Ovis aries: one gene and its partner. The protein of the gene in region 1 purifies or fractionates together with the protein of each later gene. This does not show direct contact. Links are inferred from orthologs where the notes say so. Each region holds a gene or a part of one and is shown on either strand. Other genes may lie near its edges.

Region 1 (3,655 bases):
TTCTGAGACTGATTTGTTTTTCCTTCAAACTACTCTAATAACACATTTAAATCCAGTACACGTGAAAACAGTACACAAAATATACACATATTCAGAATGAGGATCTAAGTTAGTGCGTCTCTGTAGCAGAGAGGTCACAGCTAAAGTCCTAGTGATATTGCCTCAAATTTTTACCCGTATTTAAAATAAAAAGTCACATCAAACTATTTTGGATGTCTCTAATCCATAGTACCCTAACTGCTCTTCTAAGAGTGCATAGTTGTCAATTCGTCTGGTATCTCAGTGACTATTCATCACGAAATTCTAGAATGATGTGATTATTTTTATACCAGAAAAAAAAAATGCTGATAATTGCACTTTGTTACCTTTTGCTTACTGAAATGAAAACATCACATGGATGAAAAGAAATCCCTCCCTACACTCATCTTAAACAGCACCCATCTCCACGTGTAAACTCTCTTCAGCTTTCTTAAATACTGACAGCACTTCTTCTTATCACTGAAAGACTAAGTTTCCTCCAGCACAAGATGCCGGTGAGCTCACTAAGGCCTGCCATTCATTAAAGTACTTTCTGAAGACACTGAGGATACAGTTTAGCAACAGCACATTCAAAATGCCGGCCAAGGTCCCAGAGGCGATCTGGGGTCTCATACACTTTCATCCATTGGTCAGTGATATCATCATACTGGTAAAGGGAATTTTTTCTGCTGGTTCTGAAGACATGTTCTTCAACGGTCACTTGAGTAGCTCGAACAAATAAATGGAGCTTATTCTGGAAAAGTACCAGTTTAAGGTATGGGTTTATGGACTCATCACATGGAAAGTCCTTCTTACGAGTCCACTTATTGAGCTCAATATCATAGGCTTCTACAGTAAACATCCGCTGATGATTTCCACAGGTTCCAGCTATGTAGTAGATAGAGTTCTTGTATACAGCTGCTAAGCCCTGGATTCTAGGCACAGTCATGGGGGTTAAGAAACCCCAGTAGTCTTTCTGAGGCTCATAGAAGAGGAAAAACTCTCCTAAAAAAGAGAAAGGGGAAAAAAAAAAGAGAGAGAAAAGAAAACAAGAATGTGAAGATTTAAATATAAGATAGCTTAAAACATCTACATCCCATGGCACAACGTAACATAATATTAGAATCAACCTGATTTGGGGCATTCAAACTGGTAAGTGTGAGAAGTTACTTTGGCTTGATGGCAGTACAAAGGTTAAGAGCTTGGTTTCATTTACTCCATCCAAATATTTGGGTGTTTCAGAAAATTGATTTTAAGCCAGCTCTTATAAAAAGTATTATTACTAATGGTTAGCCAGTAAGATCAAAATATGAATATAGGTTCAATCATGAATAAGCCACTATAAATTTATGTGCTAGTTATTTAACTATAAGGTAGTACATAGAATTGTTCAGATTTCTATGGGCCACTAATGTGTTTACTTTAGAGTTGCTATAAGGCAAAGACAAATATCAAGAGGAGAAAATATGGCCTTAAGCTGATAGAAAACACATACATCATTTAGGGAATTGACTATGAGGCCGTTTCCATTCTGTTTTGACCATGAAAAGGTGTGCTGAGTCACACTGCCGATGTAAAAATGTCGAAAAGAATTAAGCTAGTAAAGATTTACAAGAGCTTGGCTAATTATAACATTAAAATCTTTGATTTGAAAGAATCAAATAAAATCTTTGATATGAAAATCTGAACCCTTTATGATCAGATTAAATGGTACTCCAGTAGCCACTGACAGTAGGGCATGATCTTCTGACTAGTCATGTCAAGTTTATTTATACAAAGAGGCTTTGTTTAGATCAGAAGTACCTACTTCTAAATTGAGCTTCCCCTTGAAAACTGTTTTGAACTAGGTTAACTCCTATCGATAAATATAACTGCCTACCTAATAAAAGTAATGCTGAAAAAATCCAGGTTTTCATAAAACAGTTTGTTAAACTCTCAGCTTTTGCCTGCATATTCCCTATGCTTTTTGACTAAAATGTAACAGGATTCGTAATAAAGAAAACAGGAATGAACACATTTTTACCCTGTAGTACTTAGCTACAAATTTCTTATAAGAAGGAAAGATAATACATTTTAAAAGTTGATTTTTAAACCTAAAGATGACTTTAATAAACTAAAACCAGTAATGGGCAATTAAAACCCTCAGTGCCTCAGATTTGTCTTATATAAAATACAGTCTGATTAAATAATGTTCATTCCAACCCTGAAAATCTGTTAATTCACTGTTACTTTGCTTTAGTATTTAAATTAATATACAACCTTTATATTCCATTTGGGAGTCTTCTAATTAATTCTATCTCTACTAAAAAATAACTGCTTAGCCAGAGAGAGCTTCATCATATTGAATGATATAACCTATCCAACCATATAAGTCAAAGTGTTACTCCCTGAGTGTGTCCACCTCTTTGCCCCATGGACTATAGCCCACCAGGCTCCTCAGGTCATGGAATTCTCCAGGCAAGAATACTGGAGTGGGTAGCCATTCCCTTCTCCGGGGGATCTTCCCAACCCAGGGATCGAACCTGGCTCTCCAGGACTGCAGGCAGATTCTTTACCACCGGAGCCCCCTAGGAAGCCCTATCTAACCATTCTTTATAGATTTTTACATCCATTCAGATACTCCATTTTTTGGCAAGACCAACAAACCTACATCATCCCAGGCTTCCATTCAACTAAAATGAGGCACGAGAAAGTATTCCTTACTCTCTCTGGAGAATTAACTTTACACTGAAGTTTAAACAAATGGGTTTAGGCATTTCTAAGAAATTATAAGTCAAATAAAGGATTACAGCAAAGAACATTAAAAAAAAAAAACTTACAGTGGGGAAAAAAACTAAAAAATCATATGTATCTACACAGAACTTGCACCCCTTTCCTTATTTTTTTAATAGCAGTGAAGGAAAGCATTTATCTATAAGCAGTTAAGAAATGCAAAAGAAGAAGGATGTTGGTATTGTCAATACTGTATTCGGTATTCAAGCAACTAAAATAAGAAACCAAACACAAGGAAAATATTAGCACAAATCAGAACCTTGGATCAAGTATCTTATTTACTGCTACTCAGTTCCTTTTTCTGGTATCTTTACCAAGGTACCAGTTTTCAATTGTTTACACAAAAATTTTTAAGCTAAGTATATTACCATCCCTCTCATCTTATAATGTTAAAAAGATGACATCTCAAAATTTTTCAGTGAAAAAAAATTAAAAACACTGTATTATGGATGACAACATTAACTGCAGTGAAATTAAAATCCTGAACAGTGTGATTTCAAACTCTTTGTAAGTGAGTTTCATAACCTTTGCCATCATAAGACTTCATACAAAATTCTTTGGCAACTGAATAGTACAACTGCATTTGAGGCTTTGTTCTTTTTTTCTCTTTTAAACTAATCCAGTAAGTTCCATAAGAAGAATACTTGCTACCGTCCCTTGATTATATATCATTCAACTGCAAAAAGTTATATATCAAACTTGATTCCTTGTTTAAAGCCTTAAAAATGGAACAGAAATAGTTTTTCTCAAATGCTGAACTATTATTTATGGGGAAAAAAGTTTTCAAAAATACTATGTCACATGATGTCAAAAGACAGTAAGAACATAAAAAAACTTACATGATCATTTTAGGGACTTGAAAGTA
Region 2 (3,655 bases), on another chromosome or scaffold:
TGCCTTAGGAAGGGACCCCTTGTGGGGCTGGGAGCTGAACTCTGCAAGGTGGAACGCAGGGGAGGCGGTCTCCGGGGAGGGACTCACCTTGAGCCTCGTCTGGGGCCGCCTGGCTCTCCAGCTGGCAGGCCTGCAGTGCCCGGCGCAGCTGCATGCGGATGATATCTATCTTGGTCTTACTGTCTTGCAGCATCTGCTGCGCCGTCAGCAGCAGCTTCCGGTCCTGATGGCAGAGACAGGCCGTGAGGGGAAGGCTGGGCAGGTGGGAGTCTGACCACCCGTCCTGGTGCCCACCCCAGGCAGGCTCTGGGTGACCGAGCATTCATGTGTGGGTATGACAGAATGTGTTCCTGGGCGTTGAAGGGAGATGGAGCCTGTGGCATGTGAATCCTGACAGCTGCCACCTAACAGCTGTGTGACTCTGGACAAGCTGCTCAACCGCTCTGGGTCCATCTGCTCATCTGCGGGAAGGGGAGTGTTCTAACAGCACCAACCACCACTGGGCTGAGGATTAAAGGAGGTAATCTGTGTGTAGGGCTCAGAACTGTGCCTGGCACCAGCAGGCATTGTATTCATGTCAGCTGTTAGAATGGCGTATGTGTGTGAGTGTTCCCCATGGTGGGCGTAGCCTTGCCTGTAGCCACATGGGTGAGTCCAGGGGTGACTAGGTGTCAGACAGTTGTAGGCAGTTGTAGGAAGCAGGGTCCTGCTCTTGGTGTATGCAGTTCAAGCTACAGGGTTAACTGGGCATAGCCAAGGACGGTATGTGTGTATAAGTGCCAGGAACTGGTGGTGGATTTTTCCATTGACTTGGTGCTCTGTTCAAAACCAGGCACTGACAGACTTCCCTGGTGGCCCAGTGGTTAAGAATCCACCTGCCAATGCAAGGGACACAGGTTCGATCCCTGGTCCGGGACGATTCCACATGCAGCAGGGCAACTAAGCCCATGTGCCACAACTACTGAGCCGGCACACCCTAGAGGCTGTGCTCCATGACAAGAGAAGCCACTGCAATGGGAAGCCCATGCCCTGCAGCTAGAGAGTGGCCCCTACGCTCCACAGCTACAGAGAGCCTGAGCACAGCAATGAAGTCCCAGAGCAGCCAAAAATAAAAACAGGTAAAATACATTCTAAGAAAGCCAGGCACAGCCAATCTGTGACGAAAGAAGACTGGGTACTGACTGAAGGGGGCAGGAGGGCACTTCTGGGTGACAGGAAAGGTTCGGTAAGGGCGGTGGGTAGCTAGACAGAAATTCACTGGCTGTACACTTAGGTTTTCTGCACTTGACGTCCATCTGTTACACCTCAATAAAAGGTTAAGACAAGTTCTTCATGGTCTGTGTGCTGTGCAATATTCACGTTTGTGTGTGCACTCACAGGCGGGGATGCTCCCTGGGTCTCTAGCTGTAGGTCGAACTCTGCCCGTGGGTGTCAGTGTCTCTGGGTGTTGCTGCCAACCTGTGACTGTGTACTTGGTGTTGGTACAACTGGGGGCACGTCTGTGTGACAAATCCGATCTCTGGGTGTGCGAAACTGAAGATGTGTGTGTCTGTGCGTCTAGGTGTCCTGTTGGCCTGTGCTGTGTGTCCTGGGTGTTCTATGATGGTGAGCATCTCTCCATGTCTAGAGGTGACTGTGGTGGTCTTCCTCCACGTGTTACTGCTGTGAATCTAGGTGTTACGACGGTGTGTGTGTGTGTCTCAGTGGTGATATGCCACTGTGTATCTCTAGAAGCTGTTATGACCATGGGTGTGTCTCTAGATATCATGATGATAGTATACACATCTGCGCTTCTCTGGTGGCTCAGTGGTAAAGAACCCGCCCATCAACGCAGGAGACATGAGTTCAATTCCTGGGTTGGGAAGATCCCCTGGAGGAGGAAATGACAACCCACTCCAGTATTCTTGCCTAAAAAATCCTATGGACAGAGGAGCCTGGTGGGCTACAGGCCATACAGTTGCAGAGTCAGACACGACTGAGCCGCTAAATGGTAACATGTGTGCATCTGGGCGTTGATCTGTGTGTACGTCAGAGACGCCACCAGCAGTGAGAGGCTGCATGTTGCCCGGTCTCCGGGGGTTACTGAGTATGGTGAGGGAGTCTCTGCCACGTGTTGATCTGACATCACCCACAGTCATCCAGTTTCCTCTCTGCCCCCACCCAAGCTGCCCACACTCCAATCCTGCTGCAGAGTCACTCCACAGCCCTCTGTCCCCAACCCAGAGTGCCCCAGCCTCCTGCGGGGCAGATGGAGGCACCACCCCGCCCCCCACCACAGGCTCCAGCCTGGGATGCGCCCACAGGTATACATGCACATGGAGGGGTGTGCACGCACGCTGCTCCCACCTTGGTGCTGCCGTTGCTATACGTCTGGATCATGTTCTCTGCCCCCTGCTTCACCTTCAGCTCGATGGCCAGCTGCTTCTCCAGACCGGCTACGCGGCTCAAGTTGGTGGCTGAGCAGGCAGAGTCACCTGTGCCAGGGGACTGGGGGGCATCTGGAGGGGTGGATGGGGCAAAGTCACCACAGCCCTCCTCTCCAACTGCCCAGGTGCTTTTGCGCCAGCTGAGAGGATCCACCCCAGGCCTGTGAGGAGGAAGAGCTGGGGGCCACAGGGTCCACTCCCCACCAGCCCTCATAGGGAAACCCTTTCAGGGCTGGGGCAGGACCAGTGTGAATGAACACAGGTGTGTGTTAGTCGTTGGTGTGATCGTGTATACCTTTGTAGAGAAGGTATATACACCCCAAAGATGTGCAAGGCTGTGTAGGCGTCAGCGGGTGTGGCTGTGGTTAAGTCTGTGACCTTCAGGGTGCTGGCATAACTGAGTGTGTCTCCCCAGGTGCCAGTGTAACTGTGAGATGTGAGGTGTTAGAATGCCTCTGTGAGATTCTGGGTGATGGGGATGGCTCTGTGCACGTCTGCAACTGTCAGCAGAACTGAGCATTCAGATCTCCTGGCGCTGGTGTGACAGCATCCGAGTGCTGGAACAGCTGGACATGTATGTCTCTGGACAGCTCTGTGTCAATCTCCAGAGAGTGGTATGACCATCAGAGGCACTCTGGGTACAGCTGTGACAGGATGAGGTTTTGAGCGTTGGCTGAACTCTTTCATTATCTTCAAGTGTTGATCCAATAGTGTTGCTGCTGCTGCTAAGTTGCTTCAGTCGTGTCCAACTCTGTGCGACCCCACAGACGGCAGCCCACCAGGCTCCTCCGTCCCTGGGATTCTCCAGGCAAGAACACTGGAGTGGGTTGCCATTGCCTTCTCCAAGGCATGAAAGTGAAAAGTGAAAGTGAAGTCGCTCAGTCGTGTCCGACTCTTAGCGACCTCATGGACTGCAGCCTACCAGGCTCCTCCATCCATAGGATTTTCCAGGCAAGAGTACTGGAGTGGGGTGCCATTGCCTTCTCCGTCTGATAGTGTTAGCCTCCAGCTATTGACACACCAAAGAGGTGTGTGGGTGTTGGGCTAAGTGATGCTGAGTCTCAGGTCTTGTCCAGTTGACTGTGTTAAGTATCAGGCTGTTTATGGGTTGGTAAACTCCTGTGGCAGCGGCTCTGTGTGTCTGAATCTCTGGGTGTTGCTGTGAGCGTGTGTGAGTCCTCAGGTTTTGTGTGTGTGTTGGTGTGATTGCGTATGCATTTATCTGGGCA

What was found. Proteins that work in one complex are often made in the same cells at the same time.
Region 2: the proteins of KBTBD8 (region 1) and PKN1 purify together in Homo sapiens (affinity purification with western blotting; 3 studies listed by BioGRID and IntAct, with this or other methods). This does not show direct contact. The link is inferred for Ovis aries from reciprocal best matches to the Homo sapiens genes KBTBD8 and PKN1.

The regions. Positions count from the first base shown.
Region 1 is NC_056072.1:34,573,081-34,576,735, forward strand, and holds part of KBTBD8 (kelch repeat and BTB domain-containing protein 8), read right to left. Parts: intron 1,024-3,655; coding exon 560-1,023; 3' UTR 1-559. UniProt on the Homo sapiens protein: Substrate-specific adapter of a BCR (BTB-CUL3-RBX1) E3 ubiquitin ligase complex that acts as a regulator of neural crest specification.
Region 2 is NC_056058.1:9,642,707-9,646,361, forward strand, and holds part of PKN1 (serine/threonine-protein kinase N1), read right to left. Parts: intron 2,499-3,655; coding exon 2,347-2,498; intron 224-2,346; coding exon 88-223; intron 1-87. UniProt on the Homo sapiens protein: PKC-related serine/threonine-protein kinase involved in various processes such as regulation of the intermediate filaments of the actin cytoskeleton, cell migration, tumor cell invasion and transcription regulation.